Oryzias latipes: one gene and its partners. The protein of the gene in region 5 interacts with the protein of the main gene of each other region in a biochemical or structural test. Links are inferred from orthologs where the notes say so. Each region holds a gene or a part of one and is shown on either strand. Other genes may lie near its edges.

The links. The genes of interacting proteins can lie anywhere in the genome.
Region 1: of the proteins of cdk1 (region 5) and ezh2, one has a biochemical effect on the other in vitro, tested with the Homo sapiens proteins (5 studies listed by BioGRID). The link is inferred for Oryzias latipes from reciprocal best matches to the Homo sapiens genes CDK1 and EZH2.
Region 2: of the proteins of cdk1 (region 5) and histone H1.0-B, one has a biochemical effect on the other in vitro, tested with the Homo sapiens proteins (3 studies listed by BioGRID). The link is inferred for Oryzias latipes from reciprocal best matches to the Homo sapiens genes CDK1 and H1-0.
Region 3: of the proteins of cdk1 (region 5) and cdca5, one has a biochemical effect on the other in vitro, tested with the Homo sapiens proteins (2 studies listed by BioGRID). The link is inferred for Oryzias latipes from reciprocal best matches to the Homo sapiens genes CDK1 and CDCA5.
Region 4: of the proteins of cdk1 (region 5) and rpa2, one has a biochemical effect on the other in vitro, tested with the Homo sapiens proteins (2 studies listed by BioGRID). The link is inferred for Oryzias latipes from reciprocal best matches to the Homo sapiens genes CDK1 and RPA2.

What each region holds. Positions count from the first base shown.
Region 1 is NC_019878.2:3,254,708-3,258,849, forward strand, and holds the start of ezh2 (histone-lysine N-methyltransferase EZH2), read right to left. Parts: upstream 2,813-4,142; 5' UTR 2,414-2,812; intron 461-2,413; 5' UTR 436-460; coding exon 322-435; intron 156-321; coding exon 111-155; intron 1-110. Other genes in the region: protein CIP2A, read left to right, coding at 3,885-3,986. UniProt on the Homo sapiens protein: Polycomb group (PcG) protein. Catalytic subunit of the PRC2/EED-EZH2 complex, which methylates 'Lys-9' (H3K9me) and 'Lys-27' (H3K27me) of histone H3, leading to transcriptional repression of the affected target gene.
Region 2 is NC_019877.2:9,185,237-9,188,501, forward strand, and holds histone H1.0-B, read right to left. Parts: upstream 1,843-3,265; 5' UTR 1,601-1,842; coding exon 1,010-1,600; 3' UTR 513-1,009; downstream 1-512. UniProt on the Homo sapiens protein: Histones H1 are necessary for the condensation of nucleosome chains into higher-order structures. The histones H1.0 are found in cells that are in terminal stages of differentiation or that have low rates of cell division.
Region 3 is NC_019869.2:20,009,702-20,012,969, reverse strand, and holds cdca5 (sororin), read right to left. Parts: upstream 2,093-3,268; 5' UTR 1,974-2,092; coding exon 1,185-1,973; 3' UTR 513-1,184; downstream 1-512. Other genes in the region: psmb2 (proteasome subunit beta type-2), read left to right, coding at 2,218-2,308, 2,691-2,813, 2,900-2,970. UniProt on the Homo sapiens protein: Regulator of sister chromatid cohesion in mitosis stabilizing cohesin complex association with chromatin. May antagonize the action of WAPL which stimulates cohesin dissociation from chromatin.
Region 4 is NC_019874.2:22,815,083-22,819,178, forward strand, and holds the start of rpa2 (replication protein A 32 kDa subunit), read right to left. Parts: upstream 2,813-4,096; 5' UTR 2,690-2,812; coding exon 2,677-2,689; intron 2,445-2,676; coding exon 2,353-2,444; intron 2,119-2,352; coding exon 2,017-2,118; intron 1,116-2,016; coding exon 1,002-1,115; intron 787-1,001; coding exon 712-786; intron 255-711; coding exon 138-254; intron 1-137. Other genes in the region: smpdl3b (acid sphingomyelinase-like phosphodiesterase 3b), read left to right, coding at 3,744-3,804, 3,888-4,096. UniProt on the Homo sapiens protein: As part of the heterotrimeric replication protein A complex (RPA/RP-A), binds and stabilizes single-stranded DNA intermediates that form during DNA replication or upon DNA stress.
Region 5 is NC_019873.2:1,586,365-1,590,653, reverse strand, and holds cdk1 (cyclin-dependent kinase 1), read right to left. Parts: upstream 2,810-4,289; 5' UTR 2,802-2,809; intron 2,762-2,801; exon of another isoform or gene 2,617-2,761; intron 2,453-2,616; 5' UTR 2,447-2,452; coding exon 2,410-2,446; intron 2,121-2,409; coding exon 1,964-2,120; intron 1,531-1,963; coding exon 1,407-1,530; intron 1,124-1,406; coding exon 953-1,123; intron 884-952; coding exon 720-883; intron 607-719; coding exon 465-606; intron 361-464; exon of another isoform or gene 220-360; coding exon 103-219; 3' UTR 7-102; downstream 1-6. UniProt on the Homo sapiens protein: Plays a key role in the control of the eukaryotic cell cycle by modulating the centrosome cycle as well as mitotic onset; promotes G2-M transition via association with multiple interphase cyclins.

The DNA.
Region 1 (4,142 bases), on a different chromosome or scaffold from region 5:
AACATCATTCAATAAGACAGAATTGTTTGCCGTCTCTACTGAGGCGTCTGAAACTCATCTAGAAACGCACACAATGATTCAAAATATAAATAATTTAAATAAAACATTACAATTTTCCAGCTGCAGGTCAGATGCTGATCACCAACGCCCTCCATCTGGATAGTAATATTATTTTTAATTACTGTTCAACTCGAAAGTTTTATTGCAGGACTTTTGAATAACAGATTTTTTCAACAAAATGAAGAAAAATAATCAACGTGAAACAGTGTTAACATGAATATAAAGACCGCTTCAAAATGAAGAAGACCTTTGAGTACAAACCTTGACCTCGTCTGCCCGTCTAAAGCGTTTCATCTGCCGAAGCCTCATGTATTCAGACTTTACCCTCCTCTTCCAGCAGGCAGGACCCTTGTCTGAGCGTTTCCCCGTCCCCATGATCAGCCTGCAGCCACACACAGTCCTGCAACAGTACACACAAAATCTGTGTAGATTTAATCCCATCAGCTTTTCAGGCAGGAAGGGTCAAAGTCAAATAGCGAGGTGACGTTCGCTAAAATTCTTGCGAGTTTCAGCTTTGTCTGATTCTTTTCGTCCCAACTGTAATCCTGAGAATAAAAAATAAAACTAGTCTATTCCAGCTCATAGGATTTCACTCAAAGAAGATAAAAGGCTTATTTACAAGTTTTCTAAATGTTTATTCTCTGCTTACTGTTTCTTAATAAGGAAGATCTACAAGACAGAGGTGTAAATTAAATGTTTTTAACTCGTCAAAATAATGTTTATGGTGATTTTCATGGTTTTCTCTTTATCTTGTCTTAACATTTGCATAGAGATCAATCTGCCGCCCCTGCAGTTACTGCCAGATCGGTGAATCAGATTCAAACCTCACACTAGAGCTCGGATGTGTCAGACACCTGTCATCAAACAGCAGCGCCATGACACGTTGGCATAACTGAAATAAAAAGACTTGCACTTTCTGATCAAAAGGAAAAGGCGAAAACCTGGAAATAAAACAATAAACCTGGTATTCACCAACACTTTATCCAAACAAAAAGGCAGATTTTTAAGTCCCACTTTAAAAAAAAAGGCCTTTTATTGTTTTGATGGATTGTCAAAGCCTTTCCAGTGGTCTTTTAGTCATGAATATGATGGGTTATTTTCATTTTTTTTTGCCAAAATCAAAATGCCCGAGTCATTTTCTAGGACAGTTTCTGCAGAGCGGCAGTTTTTTTTTAGAAATTCAGCTCTTAAGTTGTGGCCGGGACTGTTGGTGTGGAATAAGCCTTCCCATCATCCATCTGTTTACTGTCGCCTGTTAGCTTACAGCCCCTCATAACCCCAAACTAACATTACCGGTGCAACAAAAATGGCAAGCAACATTGGAGCTATCCAGCTGTACAGCTTAGATCCAGATGTCAGCCCAGACGAGGAAAACAAAGACGTTCATGGATCTATCTATCTGACGGTGGATGCATCAGAATGGAGCGGAGCAGGAAGCCTTTGGCCTGCCTACTGTAGCACCTATGTCACACCTACAAGCTTTTTCCAATGACATTTCTCATCGGCACCTGATACACAACTATTTAAATGAAGAAACACTCAGAAGTGCAGTTTTATGGTTAATTGTGTTTAAATTATCCTCCTTCGTGAGGAAAATGCAACAAGAACATGTTCAAAGCACCAAAAACACCTTTTTCAATGGAGTGGGTGTTTCAAATGATCAAAGGTTTAATCAACAATTTCACAAAACTGAACTTTAAACTTGAAAGGTTGTGAGGTGTGTGTGGTCTGTGTTCTTTTTATTCATTGTCGGTGCACAGACTAGGTGATCACACAACATCCTCTACAGCTTTTCATGACTTCCTGAAGACAATCCTCATCTTCATAAAATGAGATGAGTATCGCCACCACCAGGAAGAATTACACAAACTGGTTGTCAAATTATAGAAATGTTCGTGCATCCTTTCGAGCAGGTGTTTGTCCACATTTTCATTGTGTCGCTGAAGTGTGTAACCCTGTCCTCTGTACAAAAGAAACTTGCTAAACGACTCAAGTGGTTCTTGAAACACATTTATCAGCCGGCTTTCGGTTTAGCTCCGTAAAACGTGCTTCTCTGCCCGCACAGCTCGGTAACTCAAGTTAAAAATAGACATGTTTCCCTACATTTGAACACTCATCAATTCAGAACACCGGGAGCAAATGTTTCAGCACTTTTCTTCATCAGAAATGACAAAACTGATGTAAGTGGAGCTGTCTATTCTTTGACAGCCATACAAAATGTGGCACGACAGCCTGGCGAGCTCAGCTAGCGAGTCGGGTGGTTAACAAAGAGACGGGGAGATCCACAAACCGAGAACAAACTCGGCCGATCTAGGGAAGGGCTGTATTTCGACACAGTGACAACCGCCCTCACCTGTACAGGAGGCTCAGTCCTCATTCAACGGAGAGATTCGGAATGGCAACGGTAGAGATACGCAAAGTCGTCCTTTGTGTTGGAGATTAGCCGCTCCGTGTCACTGCTAGCTGTAATGTTAGCTTGTAGGCTAACTAGCGGTTAGCTAGGCGGGACGGAGCGGTTTACTTAGCGCCAGAACCGGCTTCACGTCACCGAATTTGGTAAAAACAACGTTTACTTTACGTTTGAATCTAAATTAAATATTCCGTTTTTATATATTTTTTTTTTCATTTGAGTTTCCAGCAGTTACATTATCTGTCTCCTGACAACAACGATGTTATTTTTATATTTCCGCCTGCACTCAAACACGGTTCAAACTGCTCCCTGTCTGTCTCTCTTTCCGCCCGCTTTGCTTGCATCGATTCAAGAGGCGCCAACCCTTTGCACCAATCAAAGAAGTCTATCCTAGACGTTTCAGTGTCTCCTTTTACGATAGGTCAGCTGGCCCGACACTGATAACCAATAAGAATCAGAGAATCGCTGGGGCCCTGCGGTGGGGACATGTGCGCCGGTTTTCTTTGTTCTCCAAATTGTTGACGAAATAAAATATAAAACAACAGTTACATAAAGCACAAACGTTTAGCACAAACAGCACAACAGATTTATAATACAAGTTTTCAATAAAACATTTGTATAATAAATATTATTGATTAATCATTTAACATTTAAATTAATTTAGGAGCAATCCTAAAATAATATGAAATTGTTTATGCTGTTTTCATGTCCAAAAGTATGAAAAATATTTTTTTCAGTCATTTTCAATTTTTTTTCCTTCATGTCTTAATTGGTTAACTTCAGAATTCTCTTTGTGAGTTTGCAAAATTTGTAACAAAAAAGTTAAAAAACATTTGATAAATATTTTTTTTACATATTTAACAAAAAATATATTTTGTTACTTTTTGAGTGTGTGCGTGCGTGTGTCTGTATGTGTGTATGTCTCTACGACGGTGATTGGTTACCTGTCTTGTTGCGTCATCACTTCGGGTGATATCCATAAAATTGGGGAGGGGGGATTTTTAGAATTTTTGTTTGTTTGTTTATATAGAAAACTTAATGGTGACGATTTAATGGGCCTTATATAAAACACCACTTTCAATAAAAAATATACTACAGACTAATTTAGAAGGCAATTTGATGTTCATCCAGTCAGTTAAAAAAAGCTTTCCCGAACAACCTTTTTTGGACATGGTTCATTCCTTCTTCGTTCGAACCTGGAAGCGGGAGGACGTCGCTTTGCTTTAGTTGATATTAATGAATGGTAGAAAAGTGAAGTGGCTGAACAGCTATAAATGTGCTAAAATAAGTTAGCGGGATTTGTTTGTTTGTTTTTTTCAAATCACAGCAAGAAAATTGGTTGTCCCGCGACTAGTGTTTGCCGTTGAGCTAACTTGCTAGCGGGCGTTAGCACTTGTCATAACAGTCCCCCAAGATGGACACAACGACGTGTTTGAAGTCTCTGCTGCTGGCTATCCAGCAGTACAGAGACGGCAGGACGGCGCAGCAAGCAGCACAGCTTCAAAAACAGGTGGAGGTGAGCACCAGCGGTCAGACGTAGTCTTTGTCACTGCTCGTGTGAGACGTCATCTGTACTCTGTCACTGTGAGGAACAACAAACGCAGAACTCTGCAGCAAAACTCACCTTTATTTTGTCTTGGCACAAATGTTTGGTTCGTGTTTTTGTCAGAAA
Region 2 (3,265 bases), on a different chromosome or scaffold from region 5:
GGCCTCATGTTTGTGTAAAAAGAAATTCTCTGTGAGACCTTTTAAAAACTTTTCTCAATGAAAGTGACCAGATGCTTAATAAAAGACTACACCAGAGCAAAATAAAATGAATTCTATGATTTACATGTTTGTGACTAAACAGTTAATTTGAAACATATGTCTAGTATTTGATGTTAAAGGCAGAGAAATCTTTTTATTGGTAATTAATCTGTGATCACATTTATCCTGAATATTTGTTTAAAAATGTATTAGTGGCATCTAAAACTGCAAGAATCCTGTTTGGATGAGCTTAACCATTCCTTATTTAATAGGGCTGGTTCATATGTACCCTAAATAATAGGAATGTTTGTGTTTTTACTATGTTACTCCACATTAACGACGATCTTGCTGTTGCTCCAACTTACCACAAGATGGCAGTGTTCGCCGGTTGAGGAGGGCAGACCCATGGGTGTGTCGAAAACGACACTAAAGTCAACAAAATCTTTTGGTGGCACGTGAACGCATCACTTTAGTTGAATGTTTGAAGAGTCACTTTTATTTTCCCTTTGTATATACAGTGTTTTTAAGTGCACAATAAGTTAAAGCACTTTCAAAATGTGACAAAGGTTTATTGGATGCGTTTATGAACAGTCTGTCGCTAAACACAATATGATTCTTCAAGACAAATATAACTGGGTAAAATAAGAGCTGTGGTGCCTTCATGGAACTCATCTTCACCTTGTCACCGTTAAAACATTAAGTTTTTTTGTTAAAGTATACTGACAACAGTCATTACCTCAGCTGTACAAACGCGTGATTTCAGCAAGACCCCCCGTGGAAATAGTTTAAGGATCAGGCGGAAATGGACGATGTTCAAATAAAAAATAGAAATGCTCACAATTTCTACAGCTTCTGAATGCTATAATAAAAACAGGTTAAAAACACCTTGTGTCTGAATGAAACCTTACAAAAATAAGACATTTACGAAAACATTTCCTTAAATATTTACATCGCCGGCTGTATTGTCCGTCTACTTCTTTTTGGACGTCTTTGCTGCCTTCTTGGGTGTCTTTGCCTTGGGTTTGGCTGCTTTCTTCGCTGGCTTTGCCTTGGCTTTGGCTGCCTTGGGCTTCTTCGCCGGAGCTTTCTTCGCTTTCACCGGAGACGCCTTCTTGGCAACCTTTTTGACTTTCTTCGCAGGTGCCTTCTTGGGCTTCTCCGGGGTCTTGGACACCTTCTTGGGCTTGGCCGCCTTCTTGGCCGCCTTGGGTTTTGCTACTTTCTTGGGTTTGGCGGGCGCAGCTGCCTTGCTGCTGGACTTTTTGGCGTCCTCCGGTTTGGTCAGCCGGAAGGAGCCGGACGCTCCGATACCTTTGGTGTGGCGCAGCATCCCAGAAGCCACCAGCCGTTTTAGGGCCATTTTGATCTGGACGTCGGCGTTGTCGCCCACTTTGTAGTTCTTCCTCACGTACTTCTGGATGGACTGGCGGGACGCTCCGCTCCGGCTCGCGTCGTGGACAATAGCCGCTTTGATCATGTCCGAGTATTTGGGATGAGAAGCGGGCTTTTTAGCCTTGGCTGTCTTTTTGGCTTTAGATGGAGCACTTGACGTCTCCGCCATTGTGTTTATCCTTTAAGTTAAATCACACAAAAAAAGTCCACAAGGTGGGATTTAACCCGGTTGGAAAAGAGCGACAAAAATATTTCAAATAAAAAAAAATGAAATTTTCGGTTAAAACAAAGTTGTGGAAAGTGCCAGGCGTTCAATTATTTTAGGTTTAGGTAGCAAAAAATAGATATAGTTGTAGAGAGGCACACCCCTTCAGCCCGTTTCTCTAAAGTCTCTTGTTCCACCGGCGCTCCAGAGAGAATATGAAGCCTCGCTGCGGACGTGATTGAGAACACCAACTGCCAGCAGCTGATCTAGCGGACTCCATGGAACTGGCGCAGTCTTGTTTGTGTTTCTTCATCCTCCAACTCCCGTCAAATGTACAAACCCCGGAGGAGTTCTGATCCACAGAACCGCACGGGCACGCGGCGGAGACATTGGGCTTCACGCGCACTAACTTGTTTCCCCGCACTAGAGCCGCAGAACAACTTTTATTCCGGGAAAACCAGCCCCAAGTAGCGCGTGCTGCCGACAATTTTGCCTGATTCGCGTCAAATTGACCCAAACGGACGGAACCTGAGGGGGGGATGTTCAATGCACATGGAAATTGAATCTTTATTCCCACTGATGCGCGCGGTTTGGTCCGCGTGAGAGTCCGTTTTTCCTTTTAATACAGCGTTACATTTTCCCAACTAACACAGTCCGGCCATTGACTTCGAGTGACGTGGTCGAGATTATTTACTGTTAAACCTCCTATAAATTAAATGTCACAACATGCAAGTCGCAGGTGACTGTTGGGGCTGTCACGCGGGTTAGTTTAGGAGGTAAAACGCGGGTTGGGTTTTCTGGGTTTGCTTATTTTAGTGCCGAATTGCTTATAACTATCACTATGGCAGTCGCCTCTCGAGCTCCATTGTTGTCAGGAAAGTTGCCAACACCTCCAGAGCTGAAGGAATCTGATGACGGGTCGTTAAATTGATCACATTGTTCTGAATTGGGGTCAAAGATAAGTGAAGGGTCTGCTTTGAGTCCAGCCTCGGTGGGGTCTGCAGCCGAACGCACGCGCTGTTATTCTAAGGAGCAGAGGTGGCTTTCTTTTGTTCAGGACCTGGCGCATCAGATCCCAGTCAACAGCTGGCGTTTGCGTATTCCTAATAAGAAAACATTTAGCTTTTCCTACATTAATGCAAGAAAATATGCCCCCAAAACACTAACTTTATGTAGATTGTATTAGATTATTTCTTATTTTTGTGTCTGCTCTGTTGTCCCTCCCTGCAACGCCATTTTGATTCTAAGGAGAAAGTCAGGGCAGTTGGAGTTAGTAGCTTTCTCCTCTTCTCCATCGTGGTCATCCGAGTTAATTGGCATTATTTAGGTTGATTAACCCAATTGAATGCTTTAACACCCCATCAGTGCCACGTAGGGAGGGAGGGGGGTGTTGGAGGACACTTCTCAGCTGTAAAGTATTCAGAGAAATGAATCCACGTTCATTCTCAAAGCAGTTGCAGATTGCAGCTACAGATTAATGCCAAAGTTGTTGCACGTGCGAAGGTAAACATGCTTTTCTCTCAAAGTGAGCGCGCTTTGCTTTGTTGGCGCGTGATGACTGGGTGGCAGAGAGAGTGAGGATGAAAGGATGAGTTAGTGAACGAGTGAGGAGGAGGAGGAAGGCTTTTT
Region 3 (3,268 bases), on a different chromosome or scaffold from region 5:
CATTTGATGCATTTGGTTTTATTTTTTCGCTTGAAATAAAAGTCCTGATTCTAGACTTTTGCTGCTATAAGCAAAACTGTATAATTTAGTTGGATATTATGCAAAAAAACGATTTTGATTGGTTATAGGGTTACAGTTGCTTTTGACCTTTCACCCTCAGTTTTTTTAATTGAAAGGATTCAAAGTTTTTTTTTTGTCATATGTACAGTTAGAAAACGGGTTTTCATGCTCGCTCTGATTGCCATAAGGTTAAATTAAACATAGAGTAGGATATTTACAGTACTGATCAATTTCAGAGCTTCACAAAAACAGTTTGAGACAGGATCTGATGAAAGGCCATTCAAGGCTTTTCAGTTGAATTCTTTAGCTATGTTATAGTTTATTTGTTCATATTTCCTGTGTCATCTCCTTCTGCAGCTAGTTGATATTTCACTGCAAAGTTCTAAAAAATTGTTGTTTAATATAATTTAAAACTCTTTAACTGTACAAATAAGGGTAAACAAAATAAAGTGTATGTTTAAAAAAAGATGTTTGCTTTTATTCAAATACACAGAACAGAAGAAATGTATTTAAAAGACACATATAAGATATAAACAACCTTAAATGGATTTCTCTTAAACTAGAAAGAAAAAACAAAATTAAAGAGGAAAAAGTGCTGGTTACAGATGCCATGTACTTTATTTTTCTCTAAAAACATTTGGGAAAGTTAAAAAAAAAAGAGAATCCAAACTGCAGAATAAAAGCGTCTCCAGTCAAAACCTTTAGGATAAATGTTTCTAAAGTCCAATCGTCAGAATAAAAGCTTTTTATCTTCAAACTTCAAAGTAAGAGCTGTTCAGCACCAATTTTACGACTCAAAGCTTTTTATCTCCAGACTTTTGCATAAAAGCTTTCAAGCTTCATTTCAGAATAAAAGCCTTTTAGCTCCAAACGTAATTCTTGGGGAAATGCTCCTCAGTAAACGGTTTTAGCACTTAAATTCTGCCAAAGGATAAAGTCCGGTTTAAATAAACCAAAAAAACTGAAGTTACAAACGACTAGCAAATGTGATACTGAAAATGTATTTAAAAACTATTTCACACCAAGTGAAGGAATAAAAATATCTGGACATTTTTAACATTTTCTTGAATTATTTTTATCACAGTCCTTGAGAAGCTTCCCCTGGGCTTGAGTAGAGCCAGTTTCTACTCCACCACCAGCTCAAACTCCTCCGCCTCCTGGAACTCCGCGTTCATCTGGGCGACCAGAACGTCCAGCTCCACGCCGTCGATCGGCGCCACCTTCTTCCGCCTCCTCTTCCTCTCCTTCACCACAGCCACTCCAGGGATGTTCGGGTCCGGTTCGGCCGCACCGCCGGCGTCGGTATCGAGCAGAGACGTGAAAGAGTTCAGGGCAGAAATGGAGGAAAGCTCCAGAGCGCTCCTGGACTGCCCTGCCGCCCGGTTCACCTCCGGTGTCTGCAGATGCTGGAAGCCGAACAAAGTATCGCGAGAGTCCGGGCTGTGGAGGGACTTGTCGCTCAGTCTGCTGTAGGAGCGGCGCACCTTTCGCGCCCATTCTGCGTCCTCCGGGGTCGCTGGCGGCTTTTCTGCGGGGTTTGAGGTCGGCGGGGAGGAAGGCAAGATCGGGGACGGCATCGAGGCCTGTTTCTTCTTCTTAGCCGAAGAGATGGCGGAGGCCCTGCGGTCTGGGACCAAGTCAGGAGTGGACACCTCTTTTTTCTGCCCTAGTCTGTTGCTCGTTCGCCGTGGTGTGTTCTCCTTGTCCTGCTCCGCGGAGGTAACGGTTTTTCTCGGAGCTATTTTCCTTAGAGTGATGGACCGTTTCACCGGGACGGCCTCCAGCGCGGCCATGTTTGTGTCAATCTTCCCCGGCGGTTGCAGGGTAGAACTTAGCCGCGGCGAACGCCTCCGCGGCGGGTCTATGTGTCGGTTGGACTCCACCATCACGCTGTGAGTCTCCCCTTCCTTCATGGTCAACACAGCTTGGCTGTAACCTCAAAATTCCCCCGATGACGGACGCCCTCCGCTCGGTGACACACAACAAAAACACTCCCGCGTTTCAAATCGCCCGCCCAAGTCGCGCGGTTTGACGTCACCAGTATGCGACAGGCAGCTAGCTGAACTTTTGCTGTGTAATATTCTGAGCAGACCCGGCTGTCCGCGGCTGCTTCCTCGAATTATTCTTACATTTTTTTGTTTATTCGCGTTTTTCACGATGGAATATTTAATCGGAATCCAGGGACCAGATTTTGTTCTCGTCGCCGCCGATAATGTGGCCGCCAGCAGCATAATCCAAATGAAACACGGTAAAGTAGCTCGTCGTTAGCTGTAGCATTAGCCGCTCCGCCGATTTTTATTTTAGATTTAGGGGGGTAAAGTTCAAAGCGTTTTGAGATTTTATCTGGTTAAATCAAGCTTTTATTTCCGAATTTACAGTTAATTTGTTGTTGGTTTCTTATACTTGGCCACACTATATCAAATAATCGAACCAATGAAACTAATCTGCGTTCGATTTAAATTATTTTTGCGGATATTTGCTTAAAAATCGGTGCAGTTTTGCTCCCGATTTGAGTTTTTGGTGTTTTTCTGTATAATTGGTTTTGTTCTAAAATTAGCAGATTATGCAGCCTCATGCAGGCTAACTGTGAAAGTGAAAGTTCTAAGGTGTTTTTTTTTTTGATCCACCAGATTATGATAAAATGTTCAAACTGAGCGAGAAGATCCTGCTGTTGTGCGTGGGAGAAGCAGGAGACACGGTGCAGTTTGCTGAGTACATCCAGAAGAATGTCCAGCTCTACAAAATGAGGAACGGTAGGATGGAAACTACACAGAGCAGCTGTCTGTGGTTCATCAGGGGATCAGAACAAGTCATTGATGAAACTTTTTCTCCCCTAAAGGTTACGAACTGAGTCCATCTGCAGCAGCAAACTTCACACGGAAGAACTTGGCAGACTACCTACGGAGCAGGGTAACCATGCATGAGAGCAAAATACACTTTTAGCATTTAAAGATAAACATTTCCTGAAACTGAACACTAGAGAAACATTTTGAATTTTGTACTCGTTTTCAGGGGTGTTGCTTGAATTAACTTTGTTAGGGAAACGTATTAGGGCCCCATGGACGGATGTCTTACCCAATAGCATCTCTAACACTCACAAAAAGATGTGTTCTTACTAAAATTAAAAAAAAAAAAAAATCAATTTGAAAGCATGTAATTCCAAAAATGATTGTAAAAATTAACAAAAAGAAACATGTAGGGGTTTTAT
Region 4 (4,096 bases), on a different chromosome or scaffold from region 5:
CGTCGATTTTCTCTTTACTGGATTCAACGAGAAAACCTCGAAACTCTCTGGGTCGCACGCATCAACATTCAGTTCCTCATTCTCAGAGGTTTTCACTTGAGATGAGAACTGCAGAAGTAAAAGTTTCAATTACTTACGGTGTTCTGCGGTTTGCCGAGCGCCATGTGTGCTTGGACAACTTCCAGCATGTGTGAGGTGATTTCATTCATGTCCTCCAGGGGTCTGATACAGAACGCCACCATAGACCTGTGGTTCTGACACAGGAAGGCAAACACACATTTTCTGCTAAATTCAAAAATGAGTAACTGAAACAGCAGCAATGAACAATCACAAATGACCTTAAGACAGGTTATAGGTGTTTAAAAAAGCAAATAAAGCTCTTTAACAAGTTTGGAGGCTATAGGTGTTAAACTAAGGAAATGAGGCTCTTTAAAAAAAGTTTGCAGCTGCTGTAAGAACCTACACTTAGCTCAGGAAAGAGGTGACAAAAGCCTAAACCTTCATTTTTTGGGACGAAAGCACCTTTTAGCTAAATAAAGAACTGGCAAATCAGTGACAACCATTTTTTAAGTTAATTCATGCAATAACTGATAAAAGACAAAAGTTTCCAATTTGTGTGGCCCTAAAGCGTGGCCCTTTGTTTACAGTGTTAGGGCCGCATGAAGAAAATAAGATAAAAATAAAAGTTGGCAGGCCCTGTAATACACTTACTTGAAAAGAGCGTAGGTTTCCAGAGACTTTGACATATGTTCCTGGAGGCAAAACAGTGCTGTCCACACTCGGATCCTACAAAATAAAACCCAATCAGAGAAATTATTTTCTAGAAACCGGAAGTTAACTGAAATAAATGTTAAAATATATATTTTAATGAAACCAGCAATGACAGCATCAACAATGATAATAAAGATGTAGATTTGATCAAATGTTGTTTATAAACAACAATGGTCTGCAGACTGTGTCTCTTATGAATCATATTTAGCAAGGGGTTGTCACCAACTGACCTCTGTATCCACCCACTGCTTCACATCCATAGGAGCACCTGTCATGTCATCAACCCTGTACTGGATGTAGGTCATGGATTTGTCCGTGCTTCTGATGATGCCAACAATGGTGACCTATGACAGAGATGTGTAAAAAGGCAATAAAAACAATATGAAAGTACATTTTTGTTGTTTTTTGTTTGTTTGTTGCCAAGTGTTATGCATTAGTAAACACTAAATTTAAGACAGAAACCTGTCTTGATTTTTCAAAATAAAGGATCTGGAGTTGGTCTCTCTTGTTCCGAACAGATATTTTACTGCTGCTTCCAAGACTTAAGTTTGGATCAATTATTTAAACACCAGTCGAAAGGAGAAGTTCTACATGTGTGTAGCAGAATACGTTGAAGTTTTACAATCGTGGTTATAAAATATTGTTAAATATTAATTTAAAAAAATTAATTAATAAAAAAAAAAAACATTCTTTAACCCTATGATGCCTGACTTTACTTCTAGCTATGAAATAAATCATTCATGTTTTTGCTTTCATGTAGATGCTAAGTTAAGGTAATTTAAGATGGAAGTACTTTGATGCATATTTGCTCAATAAATGTCAAACAGCTTGCCAAACAAAAGATTACTTGTTCCAGATTTTCTATTTTATTTTATCATTATTATTGTGTTTTTTGTAAAGATCTGCCACATAGCAAAGAAAGGTAAAAGTCCATAACTTACTGATGCTTTTGTTTCCAACAAAAAGCTTACAAATATATTAGGAAAAAAGCTAAATCTATTATTTCCCAATTGATAAGGCATTATTTTTGGACTCATTGATTTTTTTTTTAGCTCCAATTAACTAATTATTACCGTAATTATTGAGACTTTGTTTTACTGTGACTTGGTCCCCTTCCCTTCCATCGTTATTAAATATATACATAGGTCTGTGTTTTTTTTATCTTTTTAAAGAGAGAGAGTAAAATCAAAATTATATGATATCTAATACTTTACAGTAGACATACTCTTTTGCATTTTAGGTTACCTGGTTAACCTCCACTTCTCCCACTTTAAAGGCTTCATCAGCCTGAGATGCAGACATCAACTGAGACACTGTGCAGGGTATAATTTGAGTGGAACGGGTCCTCTGGTGATGAACAAACAGACAGAAGGATTTCAGTTTTTACTAGCGTTACCGTTATGTGCTTAAAACAACACTCAAGCATACAAGACAAGTGCAATAATAATATAAAAACGGTTTATGTTAGGTCAAAGGGACAATGTGGAATTAAAGATGTTCAAGCTTTAATATGGATCACTTTTAACTACCGGTGTAAGTTTTGAAAGGCACCATCACTCTGTCGGCATTGTCATTTCTCACCCCTTTCTTCTCTCCTTGGGACAAGCCAGGCGATGCAAAGCCTCCAGGAGACTGCGTGTAACCCCCAACCATTCCCGACTCACTGTAGCCTCCTAAAGTTTCAACACAGAAATTGAAAGCAAGTGAAGCAAACTCCCTTTTCGGCATATTTACAATGTTAATGGAAGACACATTTGACAACAAACTATTACACTTGTAAGAAATAAACAAAGAAGCCACTTGACTTGAGTGTTAAGTAAAGCTAACGTTAGCTGTACCAAACAACACAAACATGCCAGTGTGAACGATGTAAAGGCAAACAAACAACTTGGATACGACATTTACCTTGATTCCACATGCTGACACTTCGTAAGTAATTCTTAAAATGCAAAGATAATTTAGTGACGGGGTGAAATCGAGCAACCAACTTGCTTAACGACCTGATTCCCGCGCGCCAAACTCAATGTAAGACGCATGCGCGTGGGATAATTCCCGCGAAACGTTTCATCGCGAGAGGTATATAGATAATGTACTGGCCCTGATTTTTGACTGTCAGGCATTTGCCACGGTTTTGGAGTAAACATTCCAATTAATGGGGAATTTCCACCGTTTTTTTCTTAAACTCTAACATTGTTTTTATTTCATAATGATTGTATTATTTTAAAAGATCTAATAATCCTTGTTTACTAAGAAAATCTACACCTGATAGAAATATTTCGGGAAATAACAAGCAAATTATGACGCTATCGCAAAGAGGTGGAACATGATGATCTTTGTTCCTTTCAATTTAAAAAAAAAGGTTTTCTAGTTGTAATGAGCACTGGTGCATGCGTAAATACTATAACTTATCAAAATCTCAAAAATTACAAATATAAAAAAATAAAACGTGAAAGGTATTTTGTGTGTGATCGTATGGTCTAAAATTTGAATTGCTTTTTAAGGTAGCCTTTTGCTTTTGTGTGTCTTTAGTTTAAATAACAACAGTAAAGGTGATAGGATTGTGTAATATTTTTCTCAGCCTCCAAATCCGCAGCTCAATAAACATAGGCTAATCAGTAACACCCTGTATTAGTATGAACTTCTAAACTTTTATTTAATTTGAAGAAAAACAATTTTCTGTTGAAAGCTTTAGTTCTGACTTGCCATGGAGAATCAAATGATAAAAGTGTCATTTTGTAGTTTCTGATGGACAAAGAGAGCTATTTTGTAATGATTTAATCTGTCAAAAGTGCTTCTTATCTTAAGCGTTCTCGTAAAAACTAATAATATTGTGTCATAAAACAAGGTTTAGTTATTATGATCCACACAAGCATGTCAGTGCCTTGGTAAGAAGGTTGTGTTGGCCCGCTCTGCCCTTCCTTTATAGACCCTTGCCTGTCTTTTCCAGCACAGCTGTTCTCAGACACTCAAACATGACAGCAACAAGCTTTTTCTTATCTTGTCTGCTTTTCAAAGGAGCTCTTGCTCTCACTGGTAAGTAGAGCCTTGTGTAACCAGCGTGTTATAGATGATTTTGTGACATTTACTTACTTCGCCTATGTGCTGATCTTTTCCAGGAAGCTTTTGGCATATCACAGATTTGCACTGGGACCCAACTTATGAAGTGACAGATCAACCGGAGCTGGTGTGCGCCTCTAGCGGCAAACGGCCTGCTTTGAGCGCCGGTAGATTTGGAGACTATGTTTGTGACTCACCATGGCACCTGATCAATTCCTCTGTGTATGCCATGAAGAGCATTCTTCCAGACCCAGACTTCATCATCTGG
Region 5 (4,289 bases):
CCCACCAACACTTGATGAAAACCTTTATTCACACATTTTTCTGGAAAATATTTCCAACACAAACACACAAGTATTTACAGAAGAACGGGGGGGCTCAGGCCTTCAGACGCCGTTGATGCAGGCGGCGGGCAGCGTGGACTTGTCCAGGTCATCAAAGTATGGGTGGGTCATGGCCTCACGTGCAGAGATCCTCTTGGGAGGATTGTAGATCAACATTTTCTAAAAACACAAGGAGGGTTACTGAGGAGGAACTGGATGTTCAAAAGTAAAGGTCTGGTTTTGAAGGGTTCTGCTGACCCCCGGTGGTGGTGGAGGGTGTTCTGAGATCATTAAAGAATAAAAAGACTGAAATGTTCCTTAGTTTGGTGCTTTTCTTTGGAGCCCCCGAAGAGATTGCAGCTGACCCCACCCCATGAGAAATGTCCACTTGATCTACTTTATTCATAATCTGAAGAACTTCTCACCGCCAGCAGGTCCAGGCCGTTCTTGTCCAGGTTCTTCACCATGGAGGACAGGCTGCCCTCCTTCCATTTGGGGAAAGTGTTTTTGTAGTCAGGCAGGCTCTCCACATCCGGCCAAACGTCATTGTTGGGGGTCCCCAGAGTCCTGCAGACGGACAATAGAGCCCCTTTACTCTTCAAGACCTGATTTCTCCTTGTAGAATCAGTGTGTGTGTGTGTGTGCGCTGAAAGAAGCTGAATAGTTCTCCCACACGGTACCTAAAGATCCTGAAGAGCTGGTCGATCTCGGAGTCTCCGTGGAACAGGGGCTTCTTGGTGGCGAGTTCAGCAAAGATGGTACCCGTGCTCCACACGTCCACTGGGGTTGAATATCGGGGGGAACCCAGAAGGACCTCAGGAGCTCGATACCACAGAGTCACAACCTGAGAACGAGAAGCTTGGATCAGCTGAGCAGACCTCAGCGTTGGGTTCTGCAGCGGAGCGGTTCCCACCTCGTGGGTGTAGACCCGGACGGGAACACCGAAGGCCCGGGCCAAGCCAAAGTCTGCCAGTTTGATGACGCCCTTGTTATCAATCAGAAGGTTCTGGGGCTTCAGGTCGCGGTGGAGGACCCGCCTTCGGTGACAGAAGTAAATGCCCTCAAGGATCTGATAGAGGTAGCTCTGTAGGGGGGGGCAGAAAAGGGAACAGGCTCAAAGTGGTAGACTGCTAGTTCCACACCAGAACATCCTCACAGACAAGCAGCACAAAGCATCATGGCTGCCTCAGAAGAACTGATGAAGATCTGTGATGTTTGGAGCTGCAGTCCGTGGTTAGTGAGGAACCTGGTGTGTTATCATTCAGAGACCCCCCTCCCCCAGCTGAAACCGGGATGTTCAGCTTAATAGAAAGCGTTTGTCACAACAAAGAGTAGGAAATCTAAAAACGAAGCGCTGAGTGTTTTACCTTGACCAGCATGGGGTCCATGTACTGTCCTGACGGGATGCTATCCAGGTACTTCTTCAGGTCCATGGACAGGAACTCAAAGATCAGGTAGAGGCGAGATTCCTGCATCAGGACATCCAAGAGCCTTTCAGGTGAACACAAAGGTGGAACCATTATTGCACCTCCAAGATCAGCGGAGGGAGTTGAGGGATTCGGCATTAACGCTACTCTGAACATCCCTACAGAAGGACTAAAGAGTTAAAAACCCAAGCAGGACCCCTCTGGAAAGAACATGGAAGCAAGTGGAGGCCTCCCATTACACGTGTGCACGTGTTCAGGTCAGAGTTCATGATCCAACAGTCAGAAAGGGACTTCTGAACAATCATGGATCCACAGGAGAGTTCAAGGAGAAAGAAGTGCTGAACAAGAACAAACATCTGGATTATCCCCAAACGTTCAGATGAGACAAGAGGGACTAAAACCCAGCACCTTTGACCCGGACATCACCTCACTGCATTTTACCTGCAGCGCATGGACATTAATGTCAGGAACCTGTTCAGCGCACACGTGCAGCATACCGGACGACGTTGGGGTGCTTCAGCTCCTGAAGCAGCGACACCTCCCTGACAGCGGTGCTGGGAACTCCCTCCTCCTCACTCTCCAGGCGGATCTTCTTCATGGCCACCACCTGTCCCGTGGACTTGTGCCGGCCTTTGTACACCACCCCGTATGTCCCTGCAGACACCAGAGCAGAGTCAGGGGATGAGGACTCAGACGTCCCAGAACCACTGCAGTCACCCCATCACTCAGATTGTGGTGCAGGGGACCATGATCAGAATGAAGAGCCAGGATCTGAACCAAAGCAAAGCTTGAGACGTCATCCTGGGACATCTCCATATACGGGTGGAGGAACTTTCAAGGACTTCCAAGTTCAGCATCCAGGTGGGCCTCTTTGGTGGGTTTCACCCCCCAAAAAAATCTGGACAACATTTTAGAAAAACAAAAACATTTTTACTCCACCAACCTTCTCCGATTTTCTCTATTTTCACGTAGTCCTCCATCTGTCCCTGAAAGAGAAGACAAATCCTCTCAGCTCGGACTTCTGCAGATGTTCAGACTCCAAACGGTCAGATCCTCCGTTGAGAACCGCTGAACGTTCAGGCCTGAAAACCGTAAAACGAGCAGCTCGACGTTACAGAGACAGAATAAAAACAGTAGGAATCGAACCAACCCCACCGACTTTCACCGGCCAGCTGAGGCCTCTCCAAATCTGAAAACCAGGTTGGGGGAAAACCGAACCGAGCCGTTACCGGAAGGCGCGTGTCCGTCCGCCAACGCGCCTCTCCTCATATCAAAGCGGTACCATTTCATGTCGTGATCTACCGGTTGAAGCCGTTAACGGTTGCCGCTTCTTACCTCCGTGCTGTCGCTGCTCACGCTGCGGATACAAAGCTGACACTCTTTAAAATTGAGCGCAGGACTCGGCTTCAAAACGCACCAATCAGCGCGCTCGACGCTGTTCAAAACAGCTAATCAACGAGCGGGAACGTAGCTGGACGCGCTGACGTCATACAGGTCTCCTGTCTGCGTGCCTGAACGAAAACACATTCTGGATCAGTCTTCCTGTCTCCCCACTAAAGTTTTTTTCCTTTCTCGTTCGTTGGTTTTTAGATTTAGTGCTTGCAGCTTTTTTCGTTTCTGAAACCGTCCCTTTGTTGACTTCCATATTTCAATCTTTCTTTTTTTCCTTTTAAAACCTTTCTTTTTAAATTTTAATTTTTTCCGCTTTTAATAGTTTTTAAAGAATTTTACTTCCTTTTTGTTTTGTATTAAACATTTTTATCTTCACCGTCGTTTTAGTCTTAATCGTTTCCCTGGAAAGCTGTCTCTCGTTGTTACACTCGTCTTCATCCTCTGTTGTTGCTGTTCACCATATCCCTTCAGCTTTCACTGATCTGCAGTCGGTTTGGCAGAGATATGTACACTGAATGGCCTTCCTGACACAATCCTGTATTTACTTTAGGCCGGGACCGACACTTTCTGGCTACATAGTTAGGCAGGAGCCTAACACTGGATGAAGCTCATTGCACCCCATGGGAATCAAACCCGGGTTTCTCATGCACCAGGCCTACATGCAGCCAATGTAGTCATCCAGCTGCTCTTCTGGCCATACTCTGGACTTTGCTTTTTCTCAAAAACTCTCAATTTTTTAAAATGATTTTATTCTTATAACTTAGCAAGAAAATGTGTTTATTTTTTAAATAAATAACATTGAGTTTTCTTTCTAAAACTATTAGAAAGGACACAATAGGTTAAAGAAAACATTATAGATAATGTGCCACCTGGGGCCTGTTTCAGAAAGGAGGTTAAGTGTAAACTCTGAGTGCGTTAACCCTGAAATCAGGGAAACCCTGGGTTTTCTGTTTCAGAATGGGAGGTTTGTTAAACCAGAGAAAGCAGAGTAAGTCAAACCCGTTTCTGAAAGAGAGGTAACTTATACTCTGAGTCAGTGTCCATGGTTACTTACGCTGTGAACCTAACCTGGTGGGGAGCAGGTTTTATTCTCTAAACTCAAGGTTTCTGCCGGTCCCCTCCCCTTTTTAAAGACGAAGCGATATTTTTCGCTTTAACCTTCATTGCCCAAATGTCCGTCACACAGAGACAAGTGACAAGAATGGCTTGTCCTTTTTTGGAGGACCCAATAGACGAGGAGGCTGCATTAATTCGTAGAGAATTACATTTACCTCGTACGAGGATTTTGAGACCTAGACTCGATTTTTTGTCATTTCCCCATACGTTTTTGTTTGAGCGTTACCGTTTTTCATTGCAGTCAATTACATATATACAATGAAAACAACATTAGATATTGCTATGTAGATGTTTCATATGTCAAATATTGTCAAC